4 linked regions of the Arabidopsis thaliana genome follow. The protein of the gene in region 1 interacts with the protein of each later gene in a pairwise test. Each region holds a gene or a part of one and is shown in the gene's direction. Other genes may lie near its edges.

Region 1 (5,944 bases):
TTTTGTTTGGGTAATCTTCTAATTACTGTATATGGAAGATGTGAATGAAGTTTTGGTCCTGAATGTGGCCAAGGTTCCGTCATTTGGAGATACGAAATCAAATCTCCTTTAAGATTTTGTTTTTATAATGTGTTCTTCCATCCACATCTATCTCCATATGATATGGACCATATCATACATCATCATTTGTCCAAATGCATGAATGAATTTGGAAATAGGTACGAGAATGCCAACAATGACAAGAAGGGATCAAAGACAGTTTTTAAAACAATATTTTACAGGGTTTTAATCTAATTCTAAGTTTTGGTCACTCACTTTGTTAAAAGAATAATTCAGTGTCTGGACACTAAAATCTTCCAAAAACCCCATATACATATATGCTATTTCGATACTTATATTTATTTACTCAGCATAAAAAATATTAACCATGTATTCATAGTAAAATGTTTCATGTGATATCAAACCAGCGACAACAAAAGTATTATTCCCCTCATTATGTTTGACTCCTATTATATTTTTATTTTAATTTTTTTCACTATCATCTTTCTTGCAATGAAAGTCCCATATATTGGTCAACATTTCAAACCACTTGTTCTCTTTTATGTTTTGGTAAGAGCTATCTTCTAAATTTATAATACGCATAAATTCAAAAGTAAAAGAAAATTTTGGTCATGAATGTTGTTTAAGTCATTTGGAGATACGAAATCAAATCTCCTTGTAGATTTTGTTTTTAGAATGTCGTTCCTTTTTCATCATCTTAGCTATATCTACAGCTATATATCCTATCTTTAAACCTATATTATTTTTTCCTCTCTTCACCAAAGCCATGTTTTTTAGTTGTGGCGAAAAATAAGAAATCCATACATCAACATATCGCTTTCGTTACCTTAAATTTTGGCTTGTTATGAAGGCATGTCATAACGTTTCTAGTCACAACTCACAAGCATACCAACGACCATGATAAATCCAAAAAGTAGAAACAATCTATTATCTAAACCCCCAAAAGACAAAAGAAAAAAGTAGAAAGAAAAGGTAGGCAGAGATATAATGCTGGTTTTATTTGTTTGTTAAAAGATATTGCTATTTCTGCCAATATTAAAACTTCACTTAGGAAGACTTGAACCTACCACACGTTAGTGACTAATGAGAGCCACTAGATAATTGCATGCATCCCACACTAGTACTAATTTTCTAGGGATATTAGAGTTTTCTAATCACCTACTTCCTACTATGTGTATGTTATCTACTGGCGTGGATGCTTTTAAAGATGTTACGTTATTATTTTGTTCGGTTTGGAAAACGGCTCAATCGTTATGAGTTCGTAAGACACATACATTGTTCCATGATAAAATGCAACCCCACGAACCATTTGCGACAAGCAAAACAACATGGTCAAAATTAAAAGCTAACAATTAGCCAGCGATTCAAAAAGTCAACCTTCTAGATGGATTTAACAACATATCGATAGGATTCAAGATTAAAAATAAGCACACTCTTATTAATGTTAAAAAACGAATGAGATGAAAATATTTGGCGTGTTCACACACATAATCTAGAAGACAGATTCGAGTTGCTCTCCTTTGTTTTGCTTTGGGAGGGACCCATTATTACCGCCCAGCAGCTTCCCAGCCTTCCTTTATAAGGCTTAATTTATATTTATTTAAATTTTATATGTTCTTCTATTATAATACTAAAAGGGGAATACAAATTTCTACAGAGGATGATATTCAATCCACGGTTCACCCAAACCGATTTTATAAAATTTATTATTAAATCTTTTTTAATTGTTAAATTGGTTTAAATCTGAACTCTGTTTACTTACATTGATTAAAATTCTAAACCATCATAAGTAAAAAATAATATGATTAAGACTAATAAATCTTAATAGTTAATACTACTCGGTTTACTACATGAAATTTCATACCATCAATTGTTTTAATAATCTTTAAAATTGTTAGGACCGGTAAAACCATACCAATTAAACCGGAGATCCATATTAATTTAATTAAGAAAATAAAAATAAAAGGAATAAATTGTCTTATTTAAACGCTGACTTCACTGTCTTCCTCCCTCCAAATTATTAGATATACCAAACCAGAGAAAACAAATACATAATCGGAGAAATACAGATTACAGAGAGCGAGAGAGATCGACGGCGAAGCTCTTTACCCGGAAACCATTGAAATCGGACGGTTTAGTGAAAATGGAGGATCAAGTTGGGTTTGGGTTCCGTCCGAACGACGAGGAGCTCGTTGGTCACTATCTCCGTAACAAAATCGAAGGAAACACTAGCCGCGACGTTGAAGTAGCCATCAGCGAGGTCAACATCTGTAGCTACGATCCTTGGAACTTGCGCTGTAAGTTCCGAATTTTCTGAATTTCATTTGCAAGTAATCGATTTAGGTTTTTGATTTTAGGGTTTTTTTTTGTTTTGAACAGTCCAGTCAAAGTACAAATCGAGAGATGCTATGTGGTACTTCTTCTCTCGTAGAGAAAACAACAAAGGGAATCGACAGAGCAGGACAACGGTTTCTGGTAAATGGAAGCTTACCGGAGAATCTGTTGAGGTCAAGGACCAGTGGGGATTTTGTAGTGAGGGCTTTCGTGGTAAGATTGGTCATAAAAGGGTTTTGGTGTTCCTCGATGGAAGATACCCTGACAAAACCAAATCTGATTGGGTTATCCACGAGTTCCACTACGACCTCTTACCAGAACATCAGGTTTTCTTCTATTCATATATATATATATATATATATGTGGATATATATATATGTGGTTTCTGCTGATTCATAGTTAGAATTTGAGTTATGCAAATTAGAAACTATGTAATGTAACTCTATTTAGGTTCAGCAGCTATTTTAGGCTTAGCTTACTCTCACCAATGTTTTATACTGATGAACTTATGTGCTTACCTCCGGAAATTTTACAGAGGACATATGTCATCTGCAGACTTGAGTACAAGGGTGATGATGCGGACATTCTATCTGCTTATGCAATAGATCCCACTCCCGCTTTTGTCCCCAATATGACTAGTAGTGCAGGTTCTGTGGTGAGTCTTTCTCCATATACACTTAGCTTTGAGTAGGCAGATCAAAAAAGAGCTTGTGTCTACTGATTTGATGTTTTCCTAAACTGTTGATTCGTTTCAGGTCAACCAATCACGTCAACGAAATTCAGGATCTTACAACACTTACTCTGAGTATGATTCAGCAAATCATGGCCAGCAGTTTAATGAAAACTCTAACATTATGCAGCAGCAACCACTTCAAGGATCATTCAACCCTCTCCTTGAGTATGATTTTGCAAATCACGGCGGTCAGTGGCTGAGTGACTATATCGACCTGCAACAGCAAGTTCCTTACTTGGCACCTTATGAAAATGAGTCGGAGATGATTTGGAAGCATGTGATTGAAGAAAATTTTGAGTTTTTGGTAGATGAAAGGACATCTATGCAACAGCATTACAGTGATCACCGGCCCAAAAAACCTGTGTCTGGGGTTTTGCCTGATGATAGCAGTGATACTGAAACTGGATCAATGGTAAGCTTTTTTTACTCATATATAATCACAACCTATATCGCTTCTATATCTCACACGCTGAATTTTGGCTTTTAACAGATTTTCGAAGACACTTCGAGCTCCACTGATAGTGTTGGTAGTTCAGATGAACCGGGCCATACTCGTATAGATGATATTCCATCATTGAACATTATTGAGCCTTTGCACAATTATAAGGCACAAGAGCAACCAAAGCAGCAGAGCAAAGAAAAGGTTTAACACTCTCACTGAGAAACATGACTTTGATACGAAATCTGAATCAACATTTCATCAAAAAGATTTAGTCAAATGACCTCTAAATTATGAGCTATGGGTCTGCTTTCAGGTGATAAGTTCGCAGAAAAGCGAATGCGAGTGGAAAATGGCTGAAGACTCGATCAAGATACCTCCATCCACCAACACGGTGAAGCAGAGCTGGATTGTTTTGGAGAATGCACAGTGGAACTATCTCAAGAACATGATCATTGGTGTCTTGTTGTTCATCTCCGTCATTAGTTGGATCATTCTTGTTGGTTAAGAGGTCAAATCGGATTCTTGCTCAAAATTTGTATTTCTTAGAATGTGTGTTTTTTTTTGTTTTTTTTTCTTTGCTCTGTTTTCTCGCTCCGGAAAAGTTTGAAGTTATATTTTATTAGTATGTAAAGAAGAGAAAAAGGGGGAAAGAAGAGAGAAGAAAAATGCAGAAAATCATATATATGAATTGGAAAAAAGTATATGTAATAATAATTAGTGCATCGTTTTGTGGTGTAGTTTATATAAATAAAGTGATATATAGTCTTGTATAAGAAAGGGATTTTACATGAGACCCAAATATGAGTAAAGGGTGTTGGCTCAAAGATTCATTTAGCAACCAAAGTTGCATTTGCAAGGAAATGAAAAGGTGTTAACAATGTCACTGCGTAACATGACTTCGATACAAAATCTCAAACAATACATCTTCAACTGTGGATTATGATGGACTTGGGGTTGCAGGTGATATGTCTATAGAAAAACGGGTGGGAATGGAAAATGGCTGAAGAAGAAAGCTCCAACTAAGCATCATAACTGGATTGTTTTAGAGGAGATGAGTCAAAGGAATTCACAGTGGAACTATCTCAAGAACATGATCATTGGCTTCTTATTGTTCATCTCCATCATTGGCTGGATCATTCTGGTTCAAGAGGTCAAATTATATATACATAACGGATCTAAGAAGTATAGTGTAGTCAATTAAAACAAAACGAGACTTGAAAATAAGCATAAGTATTATTAAGTTAACCCAATATTCGTTTCAATGCTTTAGTTATCATCAGAATTCTCAACATTTTCAGATATTTAACTTGCCTTTGGTTGCTTTCTCGCCATGGTAGTAGCATTCTCCGGATAAGAATCAAGGGGAGCCTCAACTTCGGCTTCAACCGTCTCCTCGTCTTTCCTATGACATTCACTTGGTGTTGCAACAATGTGTTGATGCCCCACATTCATAGGAGAGTCCCACATATCTCCAACATTCATAGGAGGGTTCCACATATGCCCACCATTCCAAGGAGGGTACCACCACATATGCCCAGCATTCCAAGAAAGATGGAGCGACGATATCGTGAGGAACAAGGTTTTTGTAGGGCAAATAATTGTAGGTGGTTGAGTTATATCCGCCCGCACAGAGTAACAGACCAACAATTAACTTTTGATATTTTAGTAAGGTCTAATTCAATTTTTGGTGGCGATAATATTTGGCTTAGTCATAAAATACAGTATGGTATAATAATGTAAAGGTTTCTCTTATCTTCAAACCAAAAGACTATACTGGAAGCTGATGGGATCATACGATTCTGAAAAAATAAGACATATATTGCAACAGAGATCCAATTTGTATCAAAAATATTGTCGGCTCAAAAATCTGACCCACCAAGAATCTAATCAAGTGCGCGATTAAGCATACGGCTATGCATCTGGTCATTGTTGATTCAGTCATCACTGGTTTAAAGACAAACTTGCATTGTGAGATTCCAAAATAACAACAACAAAAAACAATTTGCATTGAGAACATTTTGAAGGTCTGACCTTTAAGAGCCATGGAGTTTGATGTTAAGAGAAGTATATCGACAAAAAAAATCACTGACATTGGGAATTCCCATACCTGTAATAACAAAGATTCTCTATTTTTGAGCAAAGAGACATAACACCATGTTTAATCAATACAAGAAACTTTAGTGCATGATTTATGGAATGCTTAAGAAGTTTGGAACTTCAATATTAGGAATTAAGTGAGAGGTAAAGCTACAACATACCAACATCGCAAGCAGAAATATCTTGAAGTAACTAGAGATGAATATCCCCAACATAATCTCTCTTCTTCTGCAAAGTTTTTAAAAAAAATTATACATAAACAATCTTCAGGTGACAGA
Region 2 (5,540 bases), on another chromosome or scaffold:
GGGTTACTTTATTTGTGCCAATGCGATTCACCAAAAAAGCTCGAGATTTTATCGATACAATTAGCTACACTTGTTTTTGTTGATCTTGTACAACGAATTTAACTGTTCTGTTGATTCATCGCTTGAATGCTTATATATTTAATGGTGTTTGTGGTGTTGTGGCCACTCTTTGCTTTTGAGAAGTTCCAAAGGATCAGTTTGAACATTAATTGTTAATTAAGAACAATAAAAGTGGGTTGTTGTAGTATTAATGTTCTTGTCATGACAGTGGAGGCACTAGAAGAAACGATTGAGGAAACTAACTAAAGAGGATGCACGAGAAGATGAGACAGACATCCGATTAGTCTCCAAGCTATAAGGACGTACATCTTCCTACACTTGGAAAACTCCAATTAATTCTCCTCTACCCCGCTTTTATTATTTTGTCAATTTCTTCATCCAATCAAATGTATAAAGCTCATAGTTCCTTTGTAAGTAACTATTCTCACATTGTTTGAATATATACGTTGGAGTCTCCCATGGTTTCTAATGAACTTCAATTGGCACCAATATTATAGATTCGGTCATCCCGTTCTATTGTTGTTTGAGACGGTTGGTTGGTTGGTTAAACTTACACATAGTCGCTCAGTTCACAAAGCGTAATTGTTATGTTACGCTCTATTTCTATGAGATAAATTAGCCATATGAATTTTAAAGCTTAAGAGTAAAATGATGTATATATGATTCTACATTTACTCATGTTAGAATTCTAAACAAGATTTCTCAGTTTAAATAGTAAAAACTTGATATGGCTCAAACACTTGAAGTGACAGACACGTTGCAAATTTGGGACTACGTTGTGAATAAAACTTCTGACTGGAAACGGTGTCTTTGATTCGTCTTAATTGCGACCACAATGATATAATCTACTAGTAGTCTTATAATATTAAGGAATATGAGACGGTTTATCGACTACATTTTTTGTCATAATTTTGTGATGGTTTTGTCATTACTTTGTGTGTAGTCATTTATTAGTTGCAAAATAATCATAAAACCATTACAAATATTTGCGACAAAAAAAATTCATAAAATATAATCCCAAAATGCATGTTTTCTTGTAGTAAACATGTTCCTTAGAGTGGAATTTCTTCATATATTTAAATATCTTAGTTGGCTTGGAATACCCTCCAGGCCTCCATCTTGGGTCATGGTAACCCATATAGATAATTTTTATTTTTCAAAACCTAAATAGTAGTTTAATAAATTCATAGCCTTAGCTATATCTTAGTATGTTGATGTAATTTTTATTTTCAGGTCCACAACTGATTATTTGTTTATCTGTTTTCTCAAATAAGTCCACTTCCTATATTAATCTTAGTTAATCTTTATACAATGTATCTTCTTTAAATATGCTATCATGAAAATGACACAGTTTTTGGTCTTTTATCAGTCAGATTCCAAAACATTTTACACCATTTCGATATCCTACAAACTCTTCTCTCTTGACTTTTGGGTTAAGTACTTGTCTTGATCCACATGTACAAGTTATTTATAAAACCAAACCTTTTGAGATTAAACAAAGCCTTAGTTTAGTAATTAATAACCAAAACCCATAAGATTGGTTAACGTTTTTGATAAATGATTCTAACGCGTTATCTAAAGAACAAACTCTATCAGATTATGAACTGTTTCACTGTAGGTCTCTCGTTTAAAGTAAATTTTCGATTATACAGTGAGCTTTCTAAAACTCTTAAAATCATACATTAATAACACTTAATCAACTCACTAGATCGTCATTTGATATACATTTTATCCTCTCTTTTTTTTGGTTTTAGAAAAGGAAAATTAAAGAAATAATTGTCATAGATATCATAATTACTGTATATCCGCTATTTTAAATATATAGCATTTCAATTTACAAATTTATTTCTATAAATAGTACAAGAATAGTAATAGTCTCCTTTCCATTTGCATATATTTTGAGTTACGACAAATAAATAAGACAAAAATTACGTACCCGTTAACACCACAGTTATAAAGCAGCCCCAGATAGAACACGTGTCTTAAGATCATTGGTACGTCTCGAGATCCAATATGACGGTGCAGTGACTGTAAATTAACCCGTAACTCACCTCTTGATTCAACAAAAATGAAAAACCGATACTTTCCCGGCAATGTTTGGTTACACAGTCAGTGTCACACTCACACACCCGCGGAAAAACGCCGTCCACTGAATTCCACGTGTCGAAACATAATTGGGTAGTTAGAGTAACCACAGTGACGGAACAGTAACACCAGCATTACCCTTTAGTTTCCCCGTCACTTTCTTTCTTCCGTAGTTTCCTCAGACAATCAAAAACCTCTTCTTCTTCTTCAGAGCTTTGTTTTTTTTTGCGATTTCAACAACAAAAATGGCGAAATCTGACATTGAAACTGGTGGTGGTAACGAGCTGTATCCGGGAATGAAAGAGAGCTCGGAGCTTCGTTGGGCTTTCATAAGAAAACTTTACAGCATTTTGTCTCTTCAGTTGCTTGTCACCGTCGGAGTCTCCGCCGTTGTTTACTTCGTCCGTCCGATCCCCGAGTTCATCACCGAGACTCACCGTGGCCTTGCCGTCTTTTTCGTCATCCTCCTCCTTCCTCTCCTCCGTTACGTCTCCTTTCACATACTTTTGTTTATCCATTCATTTCTAGGTTCCATCATCGTCGCTTAGGGTTTTGAGTTGCTTTATTTGTGCGGTTCACTAAAAAAGCTTGCGACTTGATCGATATAGTGTTCACTTTAGCTACTCTAGCTTCGTTGATGTTGTGAAACTATAATGTTCCGTTGATTCATCGTTTAAATTCTACTGTGTTGTTAACGATTTGATATATCCACTTAGTTTGTAGAGTGTTTCACTGAGTGATCTGGATTTGATGTGTGTTGTAGTGTTGTGGCCTCTGTTGGCTTTTGAGAAGAAGCATCCGATAAACTGCATTGTCCTGTCCATCTTCACTCTCTCCATTTCCTTCTCTGTGGGGATTTGCTGCTCTCTCTCCCAAGGTATGGATACAGAGATATATCACACTTGGTTGGCTTGTGGTGTTGTTAAAAGACAAACCATTTGTCATATTTTGCCTTGGATTGTTCTCTGCTTGAAATAATCAACCAACACTAGTGTTGGTGTGATATTGATTAGATAGTACTGTTTTCTTAACCATAAAAGTTGAAATTTAGTATCTTGTTGGCTTTAACATGGTGAATCATGAAAAAGAGGAACATGGCATGAGATGCTTTCATGCTTTTTTGTCAAGCAACTTATTAACTCTGTTTCCTATAACTAGAGTTACACCATTTGGTTAGAATCTAATTTCCAAGTATTGTGAAAACAGGGAGGATTGTTCTGGAGGCTGCAATTCTCACAGCTGTGATGGTCTTTGGTCTAACGATCTACACCTTCTGGGCAGTGAAGAGAGGACATGATTTCTCCTTCCTTGGACCATTCCTCTTTGGTGCTCTCCTCATTATCCTTGTCTTCACCCTTTTGCAGGTACTAACTCAGTAACTCTCAATCTATTCAAAGTTTTGGGATATATTATCACAAAGCTAAACAATGAAATGAATGCAGATATTCCACCCTCTGGGGAAGCTATCATCGATGATATTCAGCGGAATAGCTTCAATAGTGTTCTGCGGATACATCATCTTCGACACCAATCAGCTGATCAAGAAACTCAACTACGACGAATATATCACTGCAGCGATTCGTCTATACCTCGACGTTATGAATCTCTTCCTCAGTCTCCTCGGCATTATAAGCAACTGAACGTTATGAATCTCAATCTCCTATAGTATTCTACTTATTCCAGACATAGATTTATCGAATATTAAGAACACATGTTTATGGCTTGATTAAGTTGTTAACAATACCAAAGGTCCAAAACATTCTACATAAGCAAACAATCCTTAATGATTTATTTGTCTCCTTGTGAGTTTAGAAATATAGGCAGCTTCTTTGGTCAATCAATGGATAGATATTACAACAATAATGGGACAAAAAAGAAGCATATTTGATGTTGTTCCCAATAAAATATTGAAATTGGACCCATCAATTTTAAAATTAAAACATACTATATATCTATTACTTCAACTTTGTTTTTTTATACAAAAAGACCACCAACAACCAAAAAAAAACTAAGAACATAGATATTACAGATCACCCCCACTAAGTTTTGTTTACCCAAATGCTTCCTCACCTTGACTGGTAGGTCCATTTTATCCTATACCCAACCCAAAAAACCATTACCTTAAAAGAACCCCTACTAATGAAATTTGACCACATAAGTTAAAAAAAAACTCACACTTAAACCAAGCAGCCATTGAACGTTTATTCACATCCTAAACTTCCTCTCAGCAGCAAGAACAAGAAGCCTTGAGACACCTTGTGTCCACATTTCATATTCCCTTTGGCTCTTGACCTCGAATTCAACATCACCTCGCATAACCGTCTTCAAACCGAAGTATCTTAGATCATCTCCTCCCTCTAGCAAATGTCGTCCAGGCCAGGCCGGGACATTCTTGATCACATCAAGCACAATGTCTGTAACAAAATTGGAAAGATAGTAAAATAATTAATAGAAGAGTCTTCTTCAAGTTCACATTCAAAAGCAAGACAAAAAGTAAAAGATTGAAGGGATTTGATCCTATAGTTACTTTAGTCACATATACACTTTTGCTTTTTCAATTTTTTTTCCTTTTCTCGTCTCAAATCCCCATATCTAAAGCAGACCCACCTCAAAGTTTTGAATTCTCTTTACCAGGTTCACATATAATTGACTCATTGACAGTAGATAGTGACAAAAAGTAAAGCTTTCAATATCAAACTAAAGAAACATTCTTTGTTTTTAAACCCATTAGAAGAATCATCTGAAATGTCTTGGAAGGAATTAGAGAAATCTCCAACCAAACTATTCAGGGTTTAAAGTGGTGTTATACTTATAGTATGTAAAAAGAGTAAATAATCACTTACTCTTTTTCTTCTTGGTGAAGGTTCCTCCAACATGCCTGCTCTTCATCTTCAACATAACCTATAAGTTCAATAAATCAAAACAAATTAGTGATTCTGTAAGAGATGCTTAAGCAGCAAAGACAAAAGTGGATCCCATGATTTCAGTATCATCATCATTATCAAAACAGTGCTTTTTATTTTTAAGCTTTAGTATTGTTTCTACTTTCTCTTCTTTTCCTGCCGTTTGAAATTTCTCTTTTCTCATCTTTTTGTGTGTTTCATATAACAAAGTTAACATCCATGTGAAGTAACTAAAGATTCCCACTGATTCACAAATAATTTGGCTCTCTTTAATCTTTTTCATCAGATCAACAACGATCATTTCCTAAAGTGAAACGAAACTCGAGGCACAATAAGAAAAAGAATCTTTACCTGATTCATTTTGTTGATGTAAACAGATACTATCTTCCAGTGGAGATCACCTGCAAAAGTCACACATCATTAGACAAAAGATTCAACAACTAAAATTTAAACTTTTAAATACACAAGTTTGAATTTTTCTTACCTTTGCGA
Region 3 (6,007 bases), on another chromosome or scaffold:
TTATTGATTGCCAAGAACAGGTTGACATATTGGATATATTGGAAAATTTACAATTACATGGACATGATTGGGGAGGTAGGAAGGGCGAGCCAGAGGAGGAGCCGTTGTGGCCTATTGAGGTATCGAGCTTGCCACGCTGGCTCAGCGGTCTCTTGCTCAAACCCACTTTTCATGTATAGACTCTTCGCTGCTTCATTGTCTACCGTCACATGCACGTACATATCCGTTATGCCTGAACCATATTCACAACTCTTTTTAAAAACTTCAATTGCACAAGTCTAAGGAGTTTGATTTAAATGTTCTTACCCCATTCTCCAGCAACTCTCTTAGACTTGTCAATAAGTTTGTAACCAACTCCATTACGATGCAGCTCTTTTGCAACACAGACGTTGCTCAAGTATGCTCTAGCAAAATCCACACCAATCCCCTATAACACAAAATACTCTTAGGCTACTCAATTTGTCCAATTTCAGATTTTAAGTTCAGCATTGTTGGCAACATCAAATAGACAAATACCTCTGGTTTTGTTCCAGCAATTTCATCAGGAAGCCAACGACATTGGTTAAGATCAAGGCTTCCCACCACAACTCTGTCTTCTATGCCATCAGAGAACTGAGAAACAGATGAACCATAGCACAAATCCATATCACAGTTTTTTCTAGACCAGGAAGTAACAATGACATGATGACAATTCCAAATGTAGAGCACCATAACTTAAATGCAACAAACCCTCTTGAACAGGTAAATACAGGATGACCAAATTGAGTACACAGACCTTACATGCAGAGCATAAATCCTCAAAAGAGCTTGATAATTGCGACAATGGAAGGGTAGCATTTATGCAAGCGACCCGCGTAAACCCTTCCCTCTTCCCTGAAGTTCTCTCCTTAAGCGCCTCGAATTCACGCTCTGCCAAGTATCTTCTATGATCCTAATGAAACTTGAACAGCAAACTGTAACATCAGCATAAGAAACAAACCATAAACCAAACAAAACACTCACTAACTAATCACACAACAACAACGAAGTTCTTCAAAACTATAAACACAGCTCCAACATCAATTATCATTTCATCTACCAATTCATAGTCAACGGAGTTGACTTCATGATACAACAAATAGCTAAAAATCATCTTCTAATTCACCGATTAAGTAAGAAACTGACTTGGATATTGTAAGCAGAAGGATTGAGTTCGTTGAAGGTTCGTACGCGGAGACAAGCTGCAGCCCAAAGCTCATCTTCTGACACCGATTCGGATATGACGAAAGTCGACTTGTCGATCGCTGGAGCACAAATGTGTGAGGAAGCAGCGACGGGACGGAACCGTAACTTCAATGAAGGAATCGAAAGATACGAGCGTGATGATCCATCTGTGTTTGGGTCGCCGAAAATGGCGATAGAGGATGAACTTGGGAGAGACGAACAGAGAAACGCCATTTTTTCGCGGACTAATCACATCCTCAGCTTCTTGCTAAGCTTCAAAGCTCGCATGTTTGGGCTTTTCTATTATTTGGGCCCAATATGAGCCCATAGTTTTCTGTTTGTTTACGCTTCTTTCAATTTTTATCCGAGAGAAATGGCAGCCACACAAATACCAACTAAATGTCATAACTCATAAACAAAAGATACGTAACAAACTTTTAACGTTTTATTTCCCACCAAAAGAAAATCAACATGTGTCATCATCACTCATCATCTTTTCTTTCAACGACAAAAAATAACATTGTTCTTATCGCAACAATACATGTTTTATCATCATCATTTGAATGTACGTAATCAATGTATCTCGATTCTTTTTGGTTGATATAGAAAAGAATTTGGAGTTGTATTTTGTTACCTAATAAAAATCAATTAAAATTAATAATAGTAATCTACACCCTCGTTAAGAGAAGCAAGTAGAGCTAGTTCATGCATGATGATGTCTTAGTAAAAGAAATAAGATTATCTCATATAAAGTAATAGTTAGAAAGTGTGGAAGGATTAGAATGAGGATGATGATGATGTGTGTCATGAGTCATTGATCTTTGTCATTATCCTATGATTCATATCTCTTCTTTCTCGTGCATCCAATTCTTATTGGTCAACAAATACCAATAGAAATCATTTCAGCAATAATGGACAGAAACCTACTTACGATTGGTGGGAGGGATACACAAGAAGACAACTAGAGTGACTAACTATAACATGTTCACGCATATGATCTTTTATCTATTTTCATAATTCTGATGTCTGTGACCACCTTGCAATACACCTGTACTTAAATGTAGAATATACGTTATAATATTCGTAATACAACGCATCACATAGGACCTAAATGGCGATTTTTATGGTTGCATAGTTTCTTGAAAAATGTTTTATTTTGTTGATACGTATTCAATCGTGATTGTCAAGAGAATGAAATATCATACAGTGAAATCAAAAGGAATTAACTAAACAATAATTGGTAGTCAAATCTTAAAATGCTATACGTATAATTTTCTTCTTTAATTTTTCTTTTTTTCTTTTTTATTTTGTAAGAGATTTCTTTGAACAATAATTAATTCAATCTTTCCTTACGTATTAAACAATGAATAGAAAAAAATCACAAGACATTATTGAATAAATGTCGGATTATCTACTATATATGTGTGCGCATGTGATATAGTACTGTAATAGTGGGCTACAGGCCAACTTCGGCTTTCCAAGAACATGGTTGCATCGAGCATATCTTTGCTAGATTTTAAATATAACTACAACTTCTTGCTTACTTTGTGATGCGGAAACTCAAAACCGTAATCACTCATGTTATATTTTTTGTTGTTGCTTTCAACGCTAATATCTGAAACCAGTTTTCGCTGGTCTAAGATCCATTTGCAAGAAATGTCAACAAAATAAAAAGCTCTTATCATTCCCACGAGTTTTAGTTAAGGTAATCTATTATTCCAAGACTTCCACGAACCACCTATATATAGAAGCTTACATATTCTATAGACTTAATAAATGTATAGTTCAATATTATGTCACTAACGTACGCGGCTAACAGGTTTGTTAATCCTTCCTATCACATGATTGACATACACACACACACACACGCACGACACATTATTTGTATTCAGTATTCACATATACGATATATAATTACAAGAGACGTGTATATTGAGAGATTCATTTTTTAGTGATTGTAGATCTTAAGAGAGAGAGAGAGAGATGGAGATATCGAAATACAAGGCGGTGCTAGCGTTAGTGATGTTGCAGTTTACGTCCGCCGGAGTTGCACTCTTCACGAAAGCTGCTTTCATGGAAGGTCTCAATCCCACCGTCTTCGTTGTTTACCGTCAAGCCATCGCCACTCTCTTCATCTGCCCCATCTCTTTCATTTCCGCTTGGTAAGTTCAGTGTTTTTGAACCAATCTATATATTATTTATCACATGAATTCTGACTCATTTCCATGTGAATGGTAATTAGGAGGAAAGAAAACAAACCTTCTCTGGGAGTAAGAGGCTTTTGGTGGGTGGCTTTGACGGCTGTTATTGGTGTGACTGTTAATCAGAACGCTTATTTCAAAGGGATTGACTTGTCTTCTTCATCCATGGCTTGTGCCATGACTAATCTTATTCCTGCCGTCACCTTCATTATCTCCATCATTGTTGGGTATGTATCATCAACATATATGTTCTAAGATTCTATATTGATGGATTGGTTATTTATTATTGATATTGGATGTTTGTTTCAGGTTCGAGAGTATAAAGAGGAGAAGTATGAAAAGTGTTGCAAAAGTAATAGGAACTGGTGTCTGTGTGGGAGGAGCCATGGCAATGACTTTTCTCAGAGGTCCAAAATTGCTCAATGCCTTGCTCAACCAAGACAACACAGCTTGGTTACTCGGCTGCTTCTTCCTTCTTATTAGCACATTTGCTTGGTCTCTTTGGTTGATCCTTCAGGTTCCTATTGCCTCTCACTGTCCTGACCACTTGTACACTTCTGCCTGCACATGTTTCATCGCTACCATAGCTTCTTTCCTCGTGGCTCTCGCCTTAGGCAACACTCATTTACCGCCCTGGAAGCTTGATTCCTTCTTGAAGCTCTCTTGCTGCATATACTCTGGATTCCAGTTGGCGATATCTTTCTTTCTACAAGCTTGGATCGTATCACAGAAAGGACCTGTTTTCTCTGCCCTCTTCAACCCTCTTTCTGCAGTCATCGTCACTTTCTTCGGCGCTCTGTATCTAAAAGAACAGACTTACCTCGGGAGGTATGCCATTTTCTTACTATCCTCTCTTCGTTCTGTAGCTCAATTCACATTTTTAAATCTGTTTTGCTCGTTTCTGCAGCTTGTTAGGCGCTTTGGCTATCATCCTTGGTCTCTACATTGTTCTCTGGGGCAAATCTGAAGACTATCAAGAAGAATCAACAGACCTGAAATTGGAAAATGAACACAACACTTCCTCTCAATCTGACATTGTTTCCATTATGATTGGTGATAAGGCCTTTCGTAGTTCGGAGCTATTAGAACCTCTTCTCATGTGAGTTTTATTGAAGTCAGTTCTACATGGTGTAAGTGGAAATTTTTGACAATGGACACTTAAAGAATATGAAAATGATAATAACGCAAAGTGAAATGGAACTTCTTTTACAAATCTCACTCGTCTCAACAGATGTATAAGCTACTCAACACACAAAAGAGTCGAAATAGAAGCACAAGCAAGTGCTTTTGTAACTCATTATGTTGCAAATTTAAGAGAGAAAATACATTGAAATTGCAATCCCCCACACACAAGACAAGCGATCAACGAGTTGTCTTAAATGCTGCTTTAACTTACTTGACAGTAAGATGATGACACTTCAGATATCTTCTCTGGCCTTAGTCTTGGTTTCAACGCATTAGAATCTATTACCAACTGCGTTTCCTGTTGTTCCTGAACGCACAACAACCAACAGAGTAGACGATAATGAGGAATATGAGGAAGACAATGTTGACCTTAGCCACCTTTTTCCATGAGTTCTTGATGTTGTCAAGCAGACCAGCCTTGCAGGCTTCACAGTCGTAGCAGAGAGTTCCTGGTTTGTTGTCCCACACATTACAGTCCTCGTTTTTGTATGGACCAGGAGTCTTTGTCCAAGTAGTCGGGTTCACATAGGTGAAGTTACAGTCATTGGACGGCTTACAACAACCAGACTACACAAGTAAAGCAAACAAAAAGTAGTTAGTAAAAAACATCACTATTATTTCTAAAGACTAAATCTTTCTAAAAGGCTTTGTGTGTTTGTTTCCATGGGAGAAAAAGTAAGCTTTTTGTTCATAAAACAAAATCACTTTTTGAGGAAAAAGCAAAGTTGAATCCATGAATCTCATCAAAAAGCTAGATTCACTTTTAAAATCCCGATCTCTAATTCTAAATCACAGATGAAATTTTTTTTAAATCAGATCAAAATTGTGAACCTGAAGAGCATTAAGATTAGATTTGTAGAAATCTTCAACGTTAATGCTGGCATAACGAGTACGATAAGTGGAGCAAACGTCAGAGTACATCAAACAACTCCTGATCCGTTCCCAATTCTTAGCATTGTTGACACGTTTCTGCAACCAATTAGAGTAATCGGCGACATGATACTCTTTATACCCTCGATCCGATATAACCTCACCGGCGCCGCGGTTTGTGACTGCGAAAGCGAAGATTGTGAAACAGAAGCCGAGGAGAATGAGGAGGAACATAGCGAAGAGGTAAAGCCAGAGGAGGCAAGAGACACGGCAACAAGCACCGACGAGTCCGGCGATTGAGACGAACATGAGGAAGATTCCGAGTACGACCATTGGTTTGTCGAGGAAACGTTCGCATTCGGTTGCTGCATTTTTGCCGAGCCAGATCCCGGCGGAGAGAATTGGGATTGAGAGGAGGAATGTGAAGAAATTGAGGATTCCGAGGAGATTGTTGCTACACTGAACCATCGCTTTTTGTTCCGGCGGAAATAAAAATGTGATTTTTTTTTCTATCTCCGATTTCAGATCTTATTATGCAAAAAAAAAGA
Region 4 (5,120 bases), on another chromosome or scaffold:
TTTTGGAAAGTTGTGTAACCTTCCGTATTGTTTTTAAGTTGAGAGTTAATCAGGAAGGTAGTCAAAATTTTGGTTCAAGATTAGCAAAGAAATGAATGATCAAATTGTAATCAGGTAGGTAGTCAAATTTTGATTAATTTTTTTTTAAGATTTGAGGTTACTTGCATGATTTGTAGTATGGAATCTATATAGCTTGTAGGGACAGAAGGTTTTGATGAGATCACGAGCCATACAATGTCTATTCATGTTCTTGTTGGGTGGACCTAGTGGACCTTGTGGTACCACAAATTAAAGATGAAGGATCAAATTGAAACATCCAAAACATTTTGGTGCAAATTGAAACTCAGGTAGTATCATGGAGATATAATGTGTAAATACAAATTACTAAAAGGAGTAATTTAAAATATTACTATTAGTAAACGAAACCTCCGCTTTATCTACTTTTCCGGCGAATTGGAAGGGTTTTGATCTCCTTGAGCAAATCGGAGATTCTTTCTACAGTTGTGCGAACGTTCTTATAATAAGTTTTTAGTTGATCGATCTCCGATTTAGTGAACTAGGCGTCATCTTAAGAACCCTAATTTGTTTTCTCCGGTTGTGAAAACTTCTGTTGTTCGTCGTCGAAGGTCAGTTCGTGATTCTGAGTTTGTACACCTTTTCGTTTCCTCTGTTGGCACTCGAATTTTCCAGGAAGTGAAACTAGAATTTGATTCTGCGTAGTATTGAACATTAAGATAATGTCTGGAAGAAATCGTGGACCTCCTCCTCCATCAATGAAAGGTGGATCTTACAGTGGTTTACAAGCTCCGGTTCATCAACCGCCTTTCGTTAGAGGCTTAGGAGGAGGACCAGTGCCTCCTCCTCCTCATCCTTCTATGATTGATGATAGTAGAGAACCTCAATTTAGAGTAGATGCAAGAGGTCTTCCTCCACAATTTTCGATTCTGGAGGATCGTCTCGCTGCTCAGAATCAAGATGTTCAGGGCTTACTCGCTGATAACCAGAGACTGGCTGCGACTCATGTTGCGCTTAAACAGGAGTTAGAAGTTGCTCAGCATGAATTGCAAAGAATAATGCATTACATTGATTCCTTGAGAGCTGAGGAAGAGATTATGATGAGGGAGATGTATGATAAATCTATGCGATCCGAAATGGAATTGCGTGAAGTCGATGCTATGCGAGCTGAGATTCAAAAGATCCGTGCGGATATCAAAGAGTTTACTTCAGGTAGACAGGAACTAACGAGTCAGGTTCACCTGATGACTCAAGATTTAGCTAGACTTACAGCAGATTTGCAGCAGATACCAACGTTAACTGCAGAAATTGAGAACACAAAGCAAGAGCTGCAACGCGCAAGGTTTTGACCAGTCTCTTTTTTAAGATTTGCCTTTGTTCATATTGATGATAATGTGTATGTTAAGCTGTGATTTCTGTTTTGTAGAGCGGCTATTGATTATGAGAAGAAAGGGTACGCGGAAAACTACGAGCATGGCAAAATTATGGAGCATAAATTAGTTGCAATGGCTCGGGAACTGGAGAAGCTTCGAGCAGAGATTGCTAACTCAGAAACGAGTGCTTATGCTAATGGTCCTGTTGGGAATCCTGGTATGATAAACTTGAATAAGTGTAAACCTTTATAAGCAGTCACCACAATGCCTATTAAATGCACAAGTAGAAAGGAAAACTAATAACTAGCAATAGACAGTCGATCAACAGTTGAATGCATATAGCAATGTTAATCAAAAAACATGGTTTTGATCAGGTGGAGTTGCTTATGGTGGTGGATATGGAAATCCTGAGGCTGGGTATCCTGTGAATCCTTATCAACCCAACTATACCATGAATCCAGTAAGTTATAAAATTTTGACTTTTTATATTTTTTTACATTGCGTGTGCATAGTAGATGATATGTCTGAACGCACCATAATTCTCTCTACACAGTTTCACACTTTGTTTGAACTTTGAATTTAAACCGAATTTCAGTAGCCAATAGTACAGCCTAAAGTTCGAACAAGTCAATCTGATGTAAAACGGAACTGGCTTAATCGATTTATTAGACCAATCTAAGTCAACAATGTGAGCTGATGTCGATGAAACCTGTGACAGAATATGTAACTGAACAACATCTATCTTCATATATCTCCTATTCTTGTAGTTTTAGGTGCATACATTCATACACATGTAAAGTAATGTGCTGATATGATAACAATGCTGGTTCAGGCACAAACAGGCGTTGTTGGCTATTATCCTCCTCCTTACGGACCACAGGCTGCGTGGGCTGGTGGCTACGATCCGCAACAGCAACAGCAGCAGCAGCCGCCACCACAAGGACAAGGACATCGATGAAAAAGTCAAGATTCAAAGTCAAAGTCGCCCATTTTTCAAGCGACTCTCATGAAATTAAAGCAGCCTCCCTTTTGTATACTCTGATAGTCTCTGATAGATTGTGAACAAAGCCAACATATTAAAGTGTTGTTAAGTAAGAAACTTGGAAACCACAGTTTTTTTAATTTAAATAAGCCCATTAACATCTTCAATGGACCGAATAAAGGCCCATAAGAGACCACCTCCCTCGCTCTTTTTAACAATTGGCGGGTAAAATTCTAAAATTTTAGTTTCAGTTGATGAACCAAAAACAGAAGAAGAAGAAAATTAACGAAATTTTAAAATCGGAACAAATTTCAGAAATTTGGCGCACAAAGAAGTCAATTGGCGGGTAAATATCAATTTCTCATGCCTTTAATTTCTCCGAGATCTACGACTGTTCCATTCACACAAACCCAGAGATCTGAAACTAAGAAGCCATGGATGCTCAATATCAAGATCTACCTCCTCTCAAAAGATTAAGACTGTTGCAGAGAGATCTCGAAGCTGCTCAACAGCACCAGCTACCGAACCAACCGGAGATGAAGTCGTTGCAGTTGCCGGCAAAGAAGAGGAAGCAGACTCGTGTTGATTATGACGATGACGACGCAGAGAACTCCAATCCCACCTATCATTGTCTTCCGGCGAAGAAAAGGATCTGGGCGATTGATCCCGATCTTCTCTCCGGTGGTGGTAACCCCTTTTCGCCTTTTGATCTAAATGTAGAGTATAAGCCTTATGTTGAAGAGAAATCAATTGAGAAAAAGTCAACTCTAAATGTTGAATCTAGTCTAGAGGTAGAAGAAGATGATGATAAAGAGAATATAGATCCTCTAGGGAAAGGAAAAGCTTTAGATCTCTCTGATAGAGAAGTAGAAGATGAAGATGGGATTATGTGTGCTGTATGTCAAAGTACAGATGGTGATCCATTGAATCCAATTGTGTTCTGTGATGGTTGTGATTTGATGGTTCATGCTTCTTGCTATGGGAATCCTCTTGTTAAGGCTATTCCAGAAGGTGATTGGTTTTGTAGACAGTGTTTATCGTCGAAGAACCGAGAAAAGATCTTCTCTTGCTGCTTGTGTACAACTAAAGGCGGGGCGATGAAACCTACGAATGATGGTAGATGGGCTCATATTACTTGTGCGTTGTTTGTTCCGGAAGTTTACTTTGAGGATCCTGAAGGAAGAGAAGGGATTTGTTGTAGTGAGGTATTGAGTAAGAGATGGAAAGATAGGTGTTATTTGTGTAAGGTTAGACGCGGTTGTGTTATTGAGTGTTCGGAGATGAGATGTAAGTTGGCTTTTCATGTTACTTGTGGGTTAAAGGAAGATCTTTGTATTGAGTATCGTGAAGGGAAGAAGAGTGGTGGTATTGTTGTTGGTTTCTGTAATGAGCATACCAAACTTTGGGAAAGGGTAAGATTTGTATCCAACTTTCTTCTGATCTGTGTAGTTGTGGATGTTTTGTATAGGGCTCAATTTTTGATGGTAACTTTTTTTTGTCAGCAACAGGAAAGTGGAAAGTACAAGATTGTTGCCAGAGAAGAAGATAAAAAGTAGGAGAAAGCTCAAGGGCCATGACCTGAAGACCATGCTTTTTTTGCTTGCAACTCTGAAGCTTCCACTCATGTATTTGATTGTTTTAAAACGTTTGTTCTTCTTATTTATCTGATTAGTGAGAGTAGCTGATCCTAAATGCTATCAAGTTTATTATATTTTTGTGAAAGAAATGTTGTGTTTCAATCTTTGGTCTATCTAATTTCACCCTTCATAAGAAAATGATGTAGCCGTCTCGAAACAAACTCTCGATACATTTCTTACCCGAAATCTGGTTAACAAAACGCATTGGTGTCGCCGTCTCGAAACAAACTCTCTGACAATCAGAACTGAAACAACGGACCAATCACTTTGTCTTAGCTATCTAAATAAGCTCATTGCAGGTCCAACTTTTTTCGCGCAGATTTGCATCCAAAACTTCACTTATGATTCACGAAACGGAAAAAAAAACCCAGAAATCTACAGATGAAGAAAAAATCTGAAAATTTTTGCCAAAAAAAATTTGGACCATTTCTCGATTTATGCGTGTCATCCTTGCGCAGGGGCCATGCTAATCTTCTCTGTATCGTTCCAATTTTATCGGATGTCCCCGAAGGGACAATCACTACTTCGTCTCTAACCATATATAAACTCAGCTGCTTTCTTTACCTAAGCGCTGTGGTACTTTTGAAGATTGTTAATAGCTTAAATGGGCCTATTTTAGAAAAAGGCCTATCCCTCGCTTCCTTCTCAAGCCCATTTATATTATTGAATTTTTTCCCAACTAAAGATTTTATTTTCTTATGCAAGTCTCACTCACACTCACGTAAATTTCAAATATAATCGTGGTGGAACTAAAACAATGACCGTCTCGTTTCTACGGATCGAGATTCAAAATTGTTCTGCCGGAATTTTGAGATTTCTCCCACGGAACCCAGATTTATTCGCAGCTATAAAGCCTTCTTCTGCTTTAGCATCTTTATATTCGACTGTTTCTGGGCAAATCGAAGAAAACCCGAAGAGATACGAGCACCACAATGTTGCTACATGTATCGCCACATTGCAACGCTGTGCACAGCGCAAAGATTACGTTTCCGGCCAACAGATCCACGGTTTCATGGTTAGAAAAGGGTTTCTGGATGATTCGCCACGCGCCGGCACGAGCCTCGTTAACATGTACGCTAAGTGTGGTCTCATGCGGCGTGCGGTGTTGGTCTT

What was found.
Region 2: the proteins of NAC001 (region 1) and AT4G14730 interact in a two-hybrid assay, tested with the Arabidopsis thaliana proteins (one large-scale study listed by BioGRID).
Region 3: the proteins of NAC001 (region 1) and UMAMIT33 interact in a two-hybrid assay, tested with the Arabidopsis thaliana proteins (one large-scale study listed by BioGRID).
Region 4: the proteins of NAC001 (region 1) and AT3G14740 interact in a two-hybrid assay, tested with the Arabidopsis thaliana proteins (one large-scale study listed by BioGRID).

Annotation. Positions count from the first base shown.
Region 1 is NC_003070.9:1,557-7,500, forward strand, and holds NAC001 (NAC domain containing protein 1), read left to right. Parts: upstream 1-2,074; 5' UTR 2,075-2,203; coding exon 2,204-2,357; intron 2,358-2,439; coding exon 2,440-2,720; intron 2,721-2,929; coding exon 2,930-3,049; intron 3,050-3,149; coding exon 3,150-3,539; intron 3,540-3,617; coding exon 3,618-3,770; intron 3,771-3,882; coding exon 3,883-4,074; 3' UTR 4,075-4,343; downstream 4,344-5,944. Other genes in the region: ARV1 family protein, read right to left, coding at 5,359-5,513, 5,601-5,676, 5,828-5,894.
Region 2 is NC_003075.7:8,446,217-8,451,756, forward strand, and holds AT4G14730 (Bax inhibitor-1 family protein), read left to right. Parts: upstream 1-2,149; 5' UTR 2,150-2,390; coding exon 2,391-2,628; intron 2,629-2,908; coding exon 2,909-3,022; intron 3,023-3,351; coding exon 3,352-3,509; intron 3,510-3,587; coding exon 3,588-3,785; 3' UTR 3,786-3,958; downstream 3,959-5,540. Other genes in the region: AT4G14740 (auxin canalization protein (DUF828)), read right to left, coding at 4,351-4,559, 4,989-5,046, 5,400-5,449, 5,533-5,540.
Region 3 is NC_003075.7:13,937,695-13,943,701, forward strand, and holds UMAMIT33 (nodulin MtN21 /EamA-like transporter family protein), read left to right. Parts: upstream 1-2,651; 5' UTR 2,652-2,908; exon of another isoform or gene 2,909-3,155; 5' UTR 3,156-3,186; coding exon 3,187-3,365; intron 3,366-3,445; coding exon 3,446-3,631; intron 3,632-3,713; coding exon 3,714-4,232; intron 4,233-4,311; coding exon 4,312-4,507; 3' UTR 4,508-4,742; downstream 4,743-6,007. Other genes in the region: AT4G28030 (Acyl-CoA N-acyltransferases (NAT) superfamily protein), read right to left, coding at 54-232, 307-427, 517-612, 776-931, 1,165-1,437; TET7 (tetraspanin7), read right to left, coding at 4,872-5,156, 5,421-5,927.
Region 4 is NC_003074.8:4,950,991-4,956,110, reverse strand, and holds AT3G14740 (RING/FYVE/PHD zinc finger superfamily protein), read left to right. Parts: upstream 1-2,687; 5' UTR 2,688-2,804; coding exon 2,805-3,782; intron 3,783-3,872; coding exon 3,873-3,926; 3' UTR 3,927-4,050; downstream 4,051-5,120. Other genes in the region: AT3G14750 (structural maintenance of chromosomes domain protein), read left to right, coding at 738-1,357, 1,442-1,605, 1,763-1,848, 2,221-2,346; AT3G14730 (Pentatricopeptide repeat (PPR) superfamily protein), read left to right, coding at 4,765-5,120.